Linked DNA regions of Anolis sagrei. The protein of the gene in region 1 binds, or shares a complex with, the protein of each later gene. Links are inferred from orthologs where the notes say so. Each region holds a gene or a part of one and is shown in the gene's direction. Other genes may lie near its edges. The genes, in order: RRS1 and RPF2.

Region 1 (8,530 bases):
ACAGAACCTTTTAACAAGTTTGCAGTCTATATAAAATATAAAATGAAAACATTCATTTTACTCAGCTACATGTGTGTTTCTCTGTAAAATTAACCTGAGGATTTTCTTGACAAGATAAGCTGCCTTTGCCCTTCTCTGATGCTGAGAGAGTGTGACTTGCCCAAGGTCACCCAGTGGGTTTCCATGGCTGAATGAGGATGCAATCTCTGATGTCCAACCACATTGCAGGGAATATACTGTATAACTACCAGCACTGCAGAAGGCAATCTGCTAACTAGGGCTGCATCTACATTGTAGAATGAATGCAGTTTGACACTACATAACTGTTCAATGCAATGGAAATCTGAGAGCTGTAGTTTTGTGAAGTACCAGCACAATGTGGCAGAAAAGACTAAAGGCCTTGTAAAACTATAATTCTCGTGATCCCCAATATTGAGCCATGGCAGTTAAAGTGGTGTCAAACTGCAATAATTCTGGTGTAGATGCACCTTAATTCTTCTTAATACTTAGTTGAATTCTAGTTGAAAACATGACACATCAAGCAAGGGAAAAAATGAATTCTCCAAGCACAGTACCATCTTGTGGTCATTAAAGAATACTGTTGCAAAAACAAACTTTAAATATGAGAAACTTTTATTAAGAACTGATTTTAAAATGCAAAGTTGCAACTATGGTATTTGATCTACAATACATTATTATTTCTTGTATTATCAAAATAAAATCTGTTTGAAATCACATTTACAAAAGAGTTGGATTGACAGAAAAAACGCAGTCCATGCAGTCACACTTCAGCTTTGACTTTTAGGGGAAACCAGGTTCTTTAAAATATTGTATTTACTAAATGTTATATATGTAGTATATACAGCTTCAATGTATATAAATGCTGTGATAGCATCCTCCAAATACACTGCAAATGTGATGGTTTCTGGGTACAGTACTTCATCTAGAACACTACAGTACTTCATCTAGAAAAATAAAGAGTGTTTCTTATCAATTCTGAGTGTTGCCCAAAACATTTCATTTGAGTGGTCAAAGGTTTTTTAGAACCTGGAATTATAATAGTCAAAATTCCAAGTACCATAGGCATTCACATGTCAATCCAGATGATAAAGTCACATAACTTATTTTTCTTTCAAAACCAAAAAATAAAACAAACTATAAACACAAAGGAAACTTTTTCAAAAATGTAAACTGTCATCACAAAGAAACTTTTTAAAAAAAATTGAACCACAAGTGTTGCTTTTATACTGCAGAATTAATGAAGGTTGACATAATTTTAAAGTGCCAGGGCTCGATGCTATGGGAATACTGGGAGTTGTAGTTTGGTAAGGCATAACACTCTTGGTCAGGATTCTTCAGAACTGAGTCACGGCAGTTATCAAACTGTAATCCACAGCATACATCAAAGAAGGCAGAAGAGCTTGTAAAAGTACAACTCCCAGGTTTCCCTAAGCACTCAGCCACAGTGATCCATCTGTATTAATGTTAATCAGTGTTATACTTATAATTTATTTTAAAAAACTGCTAACAAAGTTTAAAACTTGGCATTATGCTAAATTTCCTTTGACCAGAAGCTGGACACTTTGAGTGCCTCTGGTGTCACTGTAAGAAGGTCCTATGTTGTGCATATGGCAGGGCTCAGACTGCATTGTAGTAGGTGGTCTGTGGTTTGCATGTCATATGTTGTGGACTCAGCTTTGAAGCCCCATTTCTAAAGGTTAGCTCTGCATCTCGTGGTGCCAGACCACAGCCTGTTCAGCACCTGCCAAACTGCCCAGTCTTCTGTGTGCCCAGGAGGGAGTTTCTCATCCGGCATCAGCCTCTGATTGAGGTTCCAGGGTTTCCCAAACTCTGCTCTATCCAGACTATTGGGACTTCCACTCCCAGAAACTCTGACATTGGCCAAAGGCAGCTGTGACTTCTGGGAGTCAAAATCCCAAACACCTCATGGACTAGATAAAATAGAATCATAGTTGGAAGAGACCTCATGGGCCATCCAGTCCAACCCCTGCCAAGAAGCAGGAAAATCGCATTCAAATAACTCCTGACAGATAACCATCCAGCCTCTGCTTAAAAGCTCCCAAAGAAAGAGATTCTACCACACTCTGGAGCAGAAAGTTCCACTTCTGAACAGCTCTCACAGTTAGGAAGTTCTTCCTCATGTTCAGGTGGAATCTCCTTTCCTGTAGTTTGGAGCCATTGTTCCGTGTCCTAGGGTCCTTCCACACAGCAATATAACACAGAATATCAACACAGAATAACCTACAATATCTGCTTTGTGGCGCCCCTGGTGGAGCAGTGGATTAAACCACTGAGCTGCTGAACTTGCTGACCAAAAGGTTGCTGGTTCAAATCCAGGGAATGGGATGAGCTCCCGCTGTTAGCCCCAGCTTCTGCCAACCTAGCAGTTCGAAAACATGCAAATAGGTACTGCTCCAGTGGGAAGGTAATGGAACTCCATGCAGTCATGCTGGCCACATGACCTTGGAGGTGTTTATGGGCAACACTGGCTCTTCAGCTTAGACATGGAAATTAGCACCAACCTCCAGAGCCTGGCACGACTAGACAATGTCAGGGAAAACTTTTACCTTTACCGATCTGCTTTGAACTGGGTTATCTGAGTCCACACTACCATATATCCCAGTTCAAAGTGGATAGTGTGGGATTTTTACTCAGCTGTGTGGAAGGGGCACTAGTCTCCAGAGCAGCAAAAAACACGCCTGCTTCCTCCTCCCTATGACTTCCTCTCACATCTTGATACATGGCCCTCATGTTTCCTCTCGGCCTTCCCTTCTGTAGATTAAATATGCCCAGTGGATTGGTGTAAGTTTTTCGGGCTGTATGGCCATATTCCAGAAGCATTCTCTCCTGACGTTTCCACAATATATTAAACATGCACAGCTCTTTAAGACGAAACGTTTGCGGTGGGACAAAAAGCCAACGGGATTTTGACCTGCATCCATAGGAGTATAGTGTCTAGATCCAGGGAAGTCATGCTATCCCTCTGTTGTGCCTTGGTCAGAGCACACTTGGAATACTGTGTCCAGTTCTGGGCACTACAATTGAAGGGAGATGTTGACAAGCTGGAATGTGTCCAGAGGAGGGCGACTAAAATGATCAAGGGTCTGGAGAACAAGCCCTATGAGGGGCGGCTTAAAGAGCTGGGCATGTTTAGCCTGAAGAAGAGAAGGCTGAGAGGAGACATGATAGCCATGTATAAATATGTGAGAGGAAGTCAGAGGGAGGAGGGATATATTATTAGCATATCATTATTATATTATAGTACAATGAAGAAATCCACCAGCCGTGAATTGATTCAATCAAGGAATAATAGTTAGGAGGAACCATATGGGCCATCAGGTCCAACCACATGGATCTCTTGCAGGTAGCTGTCCAGCCTCTTTTTGAAGACATTCAAGGCCGAACAGGGCATAGGGTTACAGCCTGTGTTAGACGGGGTTACATTCCCCCTGAAGACGCAGGTTCGCAGCTTGGGAGTGATCCTGGACTCATCGCTGAGCCTGGAACCCCAGGTCTCAGCGGTGGTCGGGAGAGCTTTTGCACAATTAAAACTTGTGCGCCAGTTGCGCCCGTACCTTGGGAAGCCGGATCTGGCCACAGTGGTCCACATCCCAATTAGATTACTGCAACGCACTCTACGTGGGGTTGCCTTTGAAGACTGTTCAGAAACTTCAATTAGTCCAACGGGGGGTGGCCAGATTACTCACCGGAGCGTCATACAGGGAGCACACCACCCCCCTGCTCTGTCAGCTCCACTGGCTGCCGATCCAGTTCCGAGCACAATTCAAAGTGCTGCTTTTGACCTACAAAACCCTTTACGGCTCCGGCCCAGCGTACCTGTCCAAACATATCTCCTTCTACGTCCCACCTCGGAGTTAAGATCTGCTGAGGAGGCCCTGCTCTCGGCCCCACCTTTATCACAAGCAAGACTGGTGGGGACGAGGGACAGGGCCTTCTCGGTGGTGGCCCCTCGCCTGTGGAATGCACTCCCCGGGGAAATTAGGACATCAACATCCCTCCTCTCCTTCAGAAGGAAGCTAAAAACCTGGATGTGGGACCAGGCCTTCAGGTAAGCTGGCAAATGGACAAAGACAACCAATAATGACCAGAGTAGGAAAGGACAATGACGATGCTAAATGGTTTACGGACTTGGATTTGGTGAACATTGACCACAAGATGTTTTTATTGCTGCTAGTATACTGTCAATTGTTTTAATTAGTTATAACTGTGATTTTATATGGTAAATTTGTGTGTTGTATATTGTATTGTATGTTGTAATTGTTAGGCATCAAATTGTGCCTTGTGTAAGCCGCCCTGAGTCCCCCCTAGGGGGTTGAGAAGGGCGGGGTAGAAGCACCCCAAATAAATAAATAAACAAATTGTATATGTGTATAATATTTATAATATTATGTGATGCAATACAAAACTAATAATAATACAATAATATAATATATATTTAATATTACATGTAATATTACTAATAATATTACAATATAATGGTATTGTACAAAATAGTAATATACGTATAATACTGATATTGTGCTATGCTAATAATATAATATATTGAATGTGTGTATGTAGATAATAAATATAAATGCCGCAAATAAATAAATATATAACGGGCTGGTGCAGCAAACATAATCTCAGTGCTCCACAACATCCCCCTCCCGTGAGAACCTACCCTAGCAGAGAGATGCATGCTGGGAACTGTAGTTTTTACAAAGTGGGCTGTGCATTGGGGGAATCTCGCTTGAGAAGGTACATCCGGTGACGCACCGGAAGTAGAGCCTGATAGCTCCTAGCGTGCGGAGAGGGAGATCCAAGATGGCGGCTGCCGGCGCGGCGACGGTGTCCGTGGAGGATCTGCTGGCGCGCGCGGAGGAGCGCGAGGCGGACGAGCATCGGCGTCGGGGCGTGACGGTGCAGAAGGAGCTGGAGCTGGAGTTCGACGCGGGCAACCTGCTGGCGCTGGACAGGAACCCTGCCCCGCGCGCCGTGGCGTCGGGGAAAGCCGCGGAGTCTGAGCGCGAGGCGGCCCTGCGGTGCCTGGCGCGCGACAACGCGCAGCTGCTGGCGGCCCACCTGTGGGCGCTGCCCTCGGAGCGGTCGGAAGGCGGCGCGGGCCCCGTGGTGGCGCGCCTGCCGGAGCCCGCCACGCGCCTGCCCCGCGAGAAGCCCCTGCCCAAGGCCAAGCCCCTCACGCGGTGGGAGCAGTTCGCCCGCCTCAAGGGGATCCGGCCCAACAGGAAGAAGCGCGGCTCTCTGGTCTGGGACGAGCAGGCCAAGGAGTGGCGCCGGCGGTGGGGCTACCAGCGCGCGGGGGGCAAGGAGCCCTGGATGATGGAGGTGCCCGACTCGGCTGACCCTTCCGAGGACCCCTACGCGCGCAGCAGGAGCGAGAAGCGCGAGCGCGTGGCCCGCAACGAGCTCAACCGCCTCCGCAACCTGGCCCGCGCCCACAAGGCGGAGATGCACCCCACGGGCAGGCAGGACAAGGCCGAGCTCGCCCGCGCCGCCACCCTCGCCCGCGCCGCCACCGCCTCCAAGGGCCGCTTCCAGCCCCGCCTGCCCCGCGAGGACCCCCACGCGCCTCAGCGCAGCCCCGGGAGGAAGAGGCACTTCCAGCCCCTGCTCGGGGACCTCCAAGCAGAGAAGGCCCGCCACCTGGAGCTGGCCAAAAGCCTGGGCAGCAAGAAGCCCCTCATTAACATCGCCCGCGCTGTCGGGAAGCAGCTCCGGGAGGAGGACGAGGAGGCCAAGGCCCGAGGAGGAGGGAAGGGGAAGAAGAAGGGCCAGCGCGGGAAGAGGGCCAGCAAGCAGCAGCAGAGGCCTCGGGGCCCCAAGGGCAAGAAGGCCGCAGGAAGAGGAGGAGGAGGCGGCGGTGGGAAGGCCAGGAGGAAGAAGTGAAAGCCCGCACATGTACTTTTGCTCTCAAAATAGGAAAACAGTGGCCTTGGGTTTTCTGACCACAATAAAGACAGTGTCCTGGGATGTTGTGATTCACCTCCTTGCAGTCTTGAACCTGTTGAATAGGCATGGGCAAACTTTCAGGTGTTTTCGACTTAAGCACCTACCATTCTTGAGCAAACTTGGGTCCTCCATGTGTTTTGGACTTCGACTCCCACCATTCCTAACAGCCTTAGGCCCCTTCCTTTTTCCCTCTTAGTCGCTTAAGCCCAAACACCTGGAGGATCCAAGTTTGCCCATGCCAGTGTCCTGGGATGTTGTGATTTACCTTCTTGCAGTCTTGAACCTGTTGGATAGGAATGGGGAAACTTCCAGGTGTTTTAGATTTCAGCGGCCACCATTTTTGAGCAAACTTGGGTCCTCCATGTGTTTTGGACTTCGACTCCCACAATTCCTAACAGCCTTAGGCCCCTTCCTTTTCCCTCTCAGTCATTAAGCCCAAACACCTGGAGGACCCAAGTTTGCCCATGCCACTGTCTTGGGATGTTATGATGCACCTTCTTGCAGTCTTGAACCTGTAGAATGGGTATGGGCAAAGTCCCAGGTGTTTTGGACTTCAGCTCCCACCATTCCTGGGCAAACGTGGACCCTCCAGGGGTTTTGAACTTCAACTCCCACCATTCCTAACAGCCTTAGGCCCCTTCCTCCAACCAAAATTTGGAAGAGTCAAGTTTGTCCATGCCAGTGTCCTGGGATGTTGTGATGTGCCTTCTTGCAGTCCTGAACCTATAGCACAGCCATGGGCAAACTTCCAGGTGTTTTGGACTTCAGCTCCCACCATTCTTGAGCAAACTTGGGTCCTCCATGTGTTTTGGACTTCGACTCCCACCATCCCTAACAGCCTTAGGCCCCTTTCTTTCCCCTCTCAGTTGCTTAAGCCAAAACACCCGGAGGACCCAAGTTTGCCCATGCCAATGTCCTGGGATGTTGTGATGCACCTTCTTGCAGTCTTGAACCTGTAGAATAGGCATGGGCGAACTTCCGGGTGTTTTGGACTTCAGCTCCCACCATTTCTGGGCAAACGTGGACCCTCCAGGGGTTTTGGACTTCAACTCCCACCATTTCTAACAACCTTAGGCCCCTTCCTCCAGCCAAAATTTGGAGGACTCAAGTTTGTCCATGCCAGTGTCCTGGGATGTTGTGATGTGCCTTCTTGCAGTCCTGAACCTATAGCACAGCCATGGGCAAACTTCCAGGTGTTTTGAACTTCAGCTTCCACTATTCCTGGGCAAACTTGGGTCCTTCGTGTGTTTTGGACTTTGACTCCCACCATTCCTAACAGCCTCAGGCTCCTTCCTTTTCCCGCTCAGCCACTTAAACCAAAACAGAGGACCCAAGTTAGCCTATGCCTTCCATAGAGTCACCAAACTCCCAGGATTCCCAGTTTCCCCAGGCCTGGTGTAGATGCACCTATAGCTTTTGTCTTTCCCCTGAAGTCCTACTTTTATTTCCCAATGAGTCACAATGATGCCTCCAAAGTAGCAGATCCTTGGTCCAGTTATCATAATTCAGGAGGAAGTTTGCTTCCTATATAGGAGGAAGGAAGGCCAGGAGGAAGAAGTGGAAGCTGGCACATGTACTTTTGCTCCCAAAATAAGAAAACAGTGGCTTTCGGTTTTCGGAACATAATAAAGACAGTGTCCCGTGATGTTGTGATGTGCCTTCTTGCGGTCTTGAACCTGTAAGACAGGCATGGGCAAGCTTGGGCCCTCTTGAGTGTTTTGGACTTTGATTCCCACCATTCCTAACAACCCCAGACTCCTTTTCTCCCTGAGGCTGCGAGGAATGGTGGAAATCGAAGTCCAAAACACTCAAGAGGGCCCAAATTTGCCCACACTTGCGTGAACCTGATTAAAGGGGAGATAAGCAACTTGTCCCTCCAAGATGGGTAATAGCAATGACTCAGACTGAAATAGACTCAAGTCTTGATAAAAGGGCCCGAGGGTGTTTTCGTTTACCAAAATGAAAACTCATTACCACAGTGTGCTTGTCATTATTACCGTGTGCCTATTATTTGAAGGCAGTATTAGTCTGTAAATCTTTGAGGAAGAATTGTAAAGATCTGGTCTTTTTCATTTTTCTGGAGATGTCAATAATTCTCTATTTTTTATTATTGGGATATTAAGTGCCAAACTCTTCAAAATAAAATCCTTTTATTTATTTATTTTTGCTTTGTCTTTTATAAGATTTGAAGTGACCTCTGTCGTTGGCAATTAAAGTGCGTCTCCCATAAAATATGGATATTGTAATACAGATAATGCAAATACAGGAGAAATCAAGTAATCCCAGACTTCATACATAGTACAACAAGTCATCTTTTGGGTTGCTGTGAGTTTTCGAGGCTGTGTGACCATGTTCCAGAAACATTCCGGAATGCTTTTGGAACATGGCCATTCAGCCCAGAAAACTCACAGCAACGTAGTGATTCCAACCATGAAAACCTTTGACAAGTGATACTTTCTTGGAGAACACTGTAAGTGTACACTAGCACCCAATGACATAATGTTCTCAGATTTATGTGCTTTTTCCTGTGGCCATTAAG
Region 2 (8,480 bases), on another chromosome or scaffold:
GCTGCTCCAATCAAAACGTGGAGTCAACAGAGAAATCCCCACTTAGTAACACTTGTAGAAAGTCTTCCATCCATATGTGTTAGAGTTTATTTATGTAAAGAAAGCTAGAAAAGAAGCAACTGGTTCAGCAAGGGCTGTTTATGCTCTGCCCCTCAGAAGATATGTATTGAAGGGAATCTGGGAAATTAAAGGCAAGGAGGCAGTTACTGAGATACTGGTTGGATTTGAGTCCATAAAAGTTTATCAGATCCTGAGAGTATATCCGTTGACACCTCCCCTTTGAATCCCCCCTACCCATTTCCAGAATGAAATCTGCTCTTTAAAGCCTCTGATCACTTTGGAGACAATAATACATAGAGGAAAAGCACTTCCAGATCAGCACAGTATCTTTCAACATAAAACAGGAAAATGTGCAAAGCAAGAAGACAGGTAGAGCTAGACAATCACACTTTATGAAAATGCTGGGATAGGAGAAAATATAGAACTCAGAGGCGTGTTTATTAAAGAGTTATGTGGTGTCTGTTGGGAAAAGGGAAATCAAACATTCTGAATACAGCTCTTGGGAGCTTAAAACGTGGATGAAGTCCAGAGACACATTTTTAAGTGATATATTAATACACTGTGTGGGATCAGCATAATTATCTGTTATAGAACTTTATATTTTCTACTCTATATGTTTTCACTTAATATTGATAAGGAGGATTCAGTCAAGCATTACTACATTGAACCCCAATATAGTGGTCATCCTGAAGGCCAGCCACCACATCTATGGGGAGATCCTAAGGATAAGAGGAAAAGGCGAGCGATAGGTGCCCAAAGATTGGAATTCAGAGTGGATGACTTCCATCTTTTTCTCACATACACACTGTTTGGAAGTTATGTGAACCACAACAGACCATGGGGGCTGAAAATTGGCCTTTGGACTTTTACTCTGTCCAGTTGTCATTTAGACTATCCTGAAATGAGATGAAACTAAGGTGCAGGGTTATGCAATAGGAAACATTGCCCTTTTCTTCTGTGTTTTGCCCCTTTTCAACACAACAGGAAAGGATATACCACAATTGTTCTTAAGATCTAAGCTGTTGAGTTCAAGCAGTCAGGACTCTGCTGGCTTCCCAGCTGTCCGTTAATTTACATGCATTTGGTCCTTGTTTTTCTACCCTTCAGGTTAGCAAAATAGCTAACACAAAAAGTATATATATTAAAAACAACATCTCATAGGACTGAAGGGTTTTGACTTATCCCACAGTTATGTACATTCTTTGACGTTACCAACAGGCTTCTAACATTGACTAGTCCAACAAGGCTGAAGTTACTTTAGTGCAGGAGTGCAACTTGAGAAGTTATAGACTGGAACTACCATGATTCTTAACAATGTTCCCATACTTACCTATTTTTAACTGCTGTTTTGTCTTTATAGTATGCCCAAGACAAAATAGTTTCAGAATTTTCTAAAACATGCTGGATGAGTTAATTAATAAATACAGTCACTCCACCAATTTTGTTTTTTATCCTATATTTTGTTTCTAGTATCTCTCTCCCTTTTCCCTCTGTCCTTGAACAAATTCTTCAAAGACAGGCTCCAATATGAAGCAGCTGAACAAAAATGAATAAAGTGATTTACATTACCTCTCAGTTAGTTTGATAAACCTGTTTGTTTGTCCTTCTTCCTTTTCTGTTTTGGCTAAATGCCGTACCCAACCACACAAGTATATCATAATAAGCCCACTGAAACTACCATCCATGCCTCTAATTAATTGGGCCATGGTACATCAAAGGTTATGCCGTATGAAAGATCTTGAAGGTGCCACACTGAAAACTGAGATGGCCCCTACACCTCCAAGAATTGTAAAGAGGAGGTAATTTCAGCAGGCATTACATCAGAACTTTCTAAAAAATTCACATTGGTGACACACCATTTTTAGACATGGAGCACTCTCTAGCCTTTAAGCCAGTGACACTACCTGCTACCTGTTTTTGTTATTTTGGGGGGTCCCAAGTGCCCTAAAACACTTGTGAATGGATACCACCCCTAATTTAAGAGCACCCAAACTCCCTGCCCCTCTGAGGCTGGATTTACTCTGCCATATAATCAAGATTATTTGATCTGAACTATGTGGGGCTGGATCTACACTGCCCTATATTGCAGGATCTGGTCCCAGGTTATCTGATTTGAACTGGATTATATGAGTCGCTGCCAGATAGTCTGGGACAAGAAAATGATCTAAGGCCTCTGAGTTATGTAAGTTCACACTGCCACACATTCCGGTTCAAAGATGATATTTTGCAATTTTCTGCCTTGATATTCTGAGTTATATGGCTGTGTGGAAAGGCTCTGAGGCCCCTTCCACACAGTTGAACAAAATCCCACAGTACCTGCTCTGAACTGGGTTATATTGTTGTCGAATATGCCCCCCACCCCCAATAAAAGATAGTTTATAATTTGGGAATTCATAGTTTTGCCAAGGACATCAGGCTGGAATGATAAAAGTTAAGTTTTGGCAAATTTGCAAAAGGACTAATAACCACAACATGTTAGATGGTGTGTACATTTAATCAAGATTTATGCCCTATATTTCACATATTTAAAACAAAAGGTAACTGCTATATTTACTGGAAACCCTGTCACAAAAAGCCAATTTTTCCCAATCCTGCATGCTCCCCTTTTCCTTTATGAACTCTATATATGCCCTACATCCCCAATTATTATATGTATGTCTGTATAAAATATCAAGCAAGGTGACCTCTTCATGAACTATGACCAGTATCTCAGGACTCAGGTATTGCAGAATTGTTGTTGTTGTTGTTGTTGTTGTTGTTGTTATTATTATTTACGATACTTATATACCTGGAAATTTCCTGGGTCTTCAACCAAGTTTGGGAGGGGTGGTGTTGAATGCTCTCATTAAGGAGGCCAGACTTGGTGGAGGTGGTTGACAGGGGCTGTAGGCTATTGAAGGCTGCTCTGCCCTCTGCTGTGCTCTTTGCTTCAGTGTGAGCTAGGAGGCAGGTTTCAACCCCTCCCCCCCCCCCCCCGAATTTTTTTTCTGGCTACGGCCCTGCCAGCCTCTGCCTTGGCAGGGCCCCCTAAAATCGTGCTCTGCATCAATATGGCAGTGTGGACTTAGATAACCCAGTTCAAAACAGATATTGTGGGATTTCCTGATATTCCGGGTTATATGGTCGAGTGAAAGGGCCCTGGGATCAGATTCTGGCATATAAGGTCCAGCCTGAGTCTACATTCCCATATAATCCAGTTCAAAGCACATGATCTGAATGTATATGGCACTGTAGAAGGGGCCTCATTTGGGGTCCTTCCACACAGCCCTACACTGCAGAATATCAAGGCAGGAAATCCCACAAGATCTGAGTGTGGACTCAGATAACCCAGTTCAAAGGAGATATTGTGGGATTTTCTGCTTTGATATTCTGGGATATAGGGCTGTGTGGAAGGGCCCTATGTTATCTAAGTCCACACTGCCACACATTCCAGTTCAAAGCAGATATTGTGGGATTTTCTACTTTGATATTCTGGGATATATGGCTGTGTGGAATGTCCCTATGTTATCTAATGTTATTATTTTTATTGTTTTGTATTACTTCTTGTTATTATTTTTATTATTGATGTATTGTGGGCTCGGCCTCATGTAAGCCGCACCGAGACCCTTGGGGAGATGGTAGCGGGGAATAAATAAAGTATTATTATTATTGGGTTGTTGTAGGTCTTTTTGGGCTATATGGCCATGGTCTAGAGACATTCTCTCCTGACGTTTCGCCTGCATCTATGGCAAGCATCCTCAGAGGTAGTGAGGTCTGTTGGAACTAGGAAAAGGGAGTTTATATATCTGTGGAATAACCAGGGTGGGACAAAGGACTCTTGTCTGCTGGAGCTAGGTGTGACTGTTTTAACTGACACCTTGATTAGCATATAATGGCTTGACCATGGCCATATAGCCTGAAAAACCTACAACAACCCCATTATTATTATTATTATTATTATTATTATTATTATTATTATTAGAGTCCACAGTGCCATACATTCCAGTTCAAAGCAGATATTGTGCAATGTTGTGCCTTGATATTCTGTGATATAGGGCTGTGTGCTTTTCTCTTGTTTTCTGTCACATTGTTTACCAGCCAATTTCATAGATGTCTACTTAAGAGATAAGTCCCACGGAGTTTAACAGGACTTGCTTCCAGGTAATTATGCTCTTAATACCTGATGGAAGGCTTACTGTAAGCATCCTTCGAATGTCAATTCAATACCGGAAGTGTTGATAAGTCTACTTCGAACTCTACTCTATGACGTGTTCGTCTCCATAGCCCCGCATTTTTTCTAGAGGTAAAAAGTGACCATTTTCAACCGATAGTTCAGGTTTCCTTTCGGATGCCGCCTTGTTTGGAAAAGGAGAGTCTGAACTGTGCTGAACAGAAGTGCGGTGCTATCTTAACAGAGACCCTTTCTTGGAGTCCAGATTGGACTCTCGGATGTGGATACAGTTTACGATATAGAGGCAGGAGTGTAAATGTGTTGCAAAGGGGGGGAGGGGGTTAGAATCCAAGTTGCGAGGAGCTGAGATTTTCCTATCTCTACGTTCACGTTCCGGATGTGACGACACAAAAAGCTACATTTCCGGAGTACTTGTTTAATGGTCCCACGTGGAGGCAGCAGAAGTTTCAGGCATGGAGGCGTTGGATCGAGTAGAGTGAGTCTCACCGTTGCTTGTGTAGGCCTGGTCAAACTTGGGCCCTCTCTCCAGGTGTTTTGGACTCCAACTCCCATCATTCCTAACAGCCTCAGGCCCCTTCCTTTTCCCCCTCAGCCGCTTAAGCTGAGGGGGAAAAGCGGCTTAAGCCGCTTAAGCGGCTGAGGGGGAAAAGGAAGGGGCCTGAGGCTGTTAGGAATGATGGGAGTTGGAGTCCAAAACACCTGGAGAGAGGGCCCAAGTTTGACCAGGCCTGTGCTTGTGTCACATTGAACTTTGGGTTGTTTGTTTACTTTAAATTTAGTTATTTCATGTATTTATATGCTGTCTTTAAAATAGGACTCGAGTCTGCTTCCAGAGATATATGTATGTCATAATAAATTGTGGCAAGTTCTTGGTGGTATGGGCATCCCAAATCACCTTGTCTTTCTCCTGAGGAATCTGTATAAGGAGCAAGTAGCAAGAGTAAGAACTGACCCTGGAACAACAGACTGGTTCAAGATTGGGAAAGGCGTACGGCAGAGTTGTATACTCTCACACAACCTATTCAACTTGTATGCAGAATACATCATACAATATGCAGGGGTTGATAAATACAAGGCTGGGGTGAAAATTGCTGGAAGAAACATTAACAACCTTAGATATGCAGATGATACCACTTTGATAGCCGAAAGCGAGGAGGAGCTGAGGAGCCTTCTAATCAAGGTGAAAGAAGAAAGCGCAAAAGCTGGGTTGCAGTTAAACATAAAAAAAAACAAGATTGTGGCAACCAGATTGATTGATAACTGGCAAATGGAAGGAGAAAACGTGGAGGCAGTGACAGACATTGTATTTCTAGTTGGAAAGATTACTGCAGACGCAGACTGCAGCCAGGAAATCAGAAGACACTTATTTCTTGGGAGGAGAGCAATGACTAATCTCGATAAAATAGTAAAGAGTAGAGACATCACACTGGCAACAAAGATCCGCATAGGTAAAGCAATGATATTCACCGTAGTCACCTATGGATGTGAGAGCTGGACCTTAGGGAAGGCTGAGCGAAGGAAGACAGATGCTTTTGAACTGTGGTGCTGGAGGAAAGTTCTGAGAGTGCCTTGGACCGCAAGAAGATCCAACCAGTCCATACTTCAGGAAATAAACCCCTACTGCTCATTGGAGGGAAGGATATTAGAGACAAAGATGAAGTACTTTGGCCACATCATGAGAAGTCAGGAAAGCTTAGAGAAGACATTGATACTGGGGAAAATGGAAGGAAAAAGGAAGAGGGGCCAACCAAGGGCAAGATGGATGAATGGGGTCCTTGAAGTGACTAGCTTGACCTTGAAGGAGCTGGGGGTGGTGACAGCTGACAGGGAGCTCTGGCGTGGGCTGGTCATAGAATCAAAGAGTTGGAAGAGACCTCATGGGCCATCCAGTCCAACCCCCTGCCAAGAAGCAGGAATATTGTATTCAAATCACCCCTGACAGATGGCCATCCAGCCTCTGTTTAACCATGAGGTCCATGAGGTCACGAAGAGTTGGAAGTGACTGAACAAATGAACAACCACAACATATACATACATCCAGATATGTGCTTGCTTTCAAGTTGCTTATCCACTTGTGGAAGCCCCATTCATTTCATGGGGTTTTCTTAGGCAGAATATTCAGAAGAATATCCCTTCCTCTGAAACACAGCCCTACAGCAGTCTTCGGTGGTCTCCCATCCAAGGCTGAGCCCTGCTTAACTTCCAAAATCTATCGCCTTTAGTATGCCAGCTGTTGACCGAGGGATGAATTTGTTTTGTGAGCCACCCCAAAACCAGCGTTTTTGGAATAGTTATATGAAAAATAGTTATATTTTTGTGAAAATAACCATGATGAAGGTAACTGGAAGGGACAAACACATCTACAAGGAACATTAGCCAAAATGTCAGTCAGGTTGCAAACTGCCTTTGGTGTCGATTAGGAGAAAAACTGGTCAATAGGTAAAGATAAAGGTTTTCCCTTGACATTAAGGGCAGTCGTGTCCGACTCTGGGGGTTGATGCTCATCTCCATTTCTAAGCCGAAGAGCCGGCATTGTCTGTAGACACCTCCAAGGTCATGTGGTCAGCATGACTGCATGGAGCACTGTTACCTTCCCGTGGGAGCAGTCAATACAGAAGTAAATGAAAACAGGCAGTCCCCAGGTTACAAACAAGACAGGTTCTGTAGGTTTGTTCTTAAGTTGAATCTGTGTCTAAATCAGAACAAGCAATTTTTAAAAAGTGTAATTCCAGCCATTTTTTTAAGTTTTGGAAAGGATAGGGAAGGGTTAATACCCCTGTGGTGTTTGCTTTGCTGTCTTGCTACTGTTGGAAAGTTTTCATCTCACTTTTTGTCCCTGTGATAATTGGATTTTGAAAAATGTGGTTTGTTTTGGAAACAAGGATTGGTGAGAAAGCTTCAGTGGAGACACCTTTTCCCCATGACAACTCTTCCAGGAGTGGATTTCCTTCCGAGGGGTAGATTTCTTCCACTTCCTGTTGTCTCACCTCTGTTCTCAATGTTTGTAACTCAAGGACTGACTGTAAGTACATTCAAATACTTGGTGAAAGTTAACATTGTGACAATAATATTCTCATGGCAGAAAACCCAAAACCAAGAGGGCAAAAAGGTTTCTTGAAAAAAGGGAGCCAAAGCTGACAGAAAATACCAAGAATGCTATGCTCATAAAAGGTGGAAATGCAAATACAACCATCACCGAAGTACTAAAAGACATTGTAAGTATGTTTGGGAATATTTGTGGAGCTGGGGCTATGTTCTGTTGTGTTACATAGAAAGGTGATTTAAAGTACTGATTCTCAAACTTTAGCCCCCTAGAGCACTGTTTCTTAAGGTTGGGACTGTGGGTCCCAACCTTAAATAGCGTCCCCTTAGCTAATTGCTGGGGTCACGAAAAATTTTGAAACAGTGAAAGGTTTCTCCAGTCATTTACACAAATCTGTTAGCAACTACATGCACTGTTTTACAATGGACTCTGCAGAAAATGCTTTGGCTGTATTCCACAAAAAAAAGAAAAATCAGCCTGTTTAGCAAGCCTTGCAAATGGTGGTCTCTTTTCAATATATGTTTGATTTTTATACCTATTTAATATACTTATATATCTGGGGTCTTTTAAACTTATACACTTATATAATTGGGCCCTTTTAAAATATTGAGCGAACATGCATTCTATATTGGTGGGAATTGTTCTGGATCAAAGAGGAGGAATTCTGATTGATGGGAATAATTCAGCAAATCTGGGAGAAGTTGTAAAGTTTATAGTCATTGGCCCCTGTGGTGAATGTTAACTGGTTTAACTAGGAAAATTCAAGATGCACTTCTGAGGCATTGGATGTTTTATACCTTGCCTATTTGCAGCAGAAATTTCAATTGCTGTCTGTTTTGAGGGAGCAAAACAGGACTAGCACTTTTTGCTGGCATGCAAATCTATTACCATGTATTTAAAGAGAATAGATTTATTTATATATTTACAATATTTCTATCCCACCTTTCTCAAGTCAGAAGGCTATTCAAGGCGGCTTACAAATTGGCAACATGTACAATTAAACATTTTAAACAGCATTATAAAATCAATATAAAATCAATACAATACAAAAACCATTAAAAACATATAATAACCAATGTCTTCCTGTTAATCTCACATTCCAGTATCATTGTCTAAGCCGTTCCATGTTTCAAACTTACATAATTCTGTGTTTGTTTATTGCACTGCATTTCCAAAGGCTTATTCAAAGAGTCAGGTTTTTACTTT

The links.
Region 2: RRS1 (region 1) and RPF2 share a complex: the UniProt entries of both Homo sapiens proteins name them as parts of the hexameric 5S RNP precursor complex. The link is inferred for Anolis sagrei from reciprocal best matches to the Homo sapiens genes RRS1 and RPF2.

What each region holds. Positions count from the first base shown.
Region 1 is NC_090024.1:45,534,622-45,543,151, reverse strand, and holds RRS1 (ribosome biogenesis regulatory protein homolog), read left to right. Parts: upstream 1-4,784; 5' UTR 4,785-4,845; coding exon 4,846-5,928; 3' UTR 5,929-8,152; downstream 8,153-8,530. UniProt on the Homo sapiens protein: Involved in ribosomal large subunit assembly. May regulate the localization of the 5S RNP/5S ribonucleoprotein particle to the nucleolus.
Region 2 is NC_090021.1:93,051,508-93,059,987, reverse strand, and holds the start of RPF2 (ribosome production factor 2 homolog), read left to right. Parts: upstream 1-4,604; 5' UTR 4,605-4,649; coding exon of another isoform or gene 4,650-4,683; coding exon 4,684-4,706; intron 4,707-7,313; coding exon 7,314-7,446; intron 7,447-8,480. UniProt on the Homo sapiens protein: Involved in ribosomal large subunit assembly. May regulate the localization of the 5S RNP/5S ribonucleoprotein particle to the nucleolus.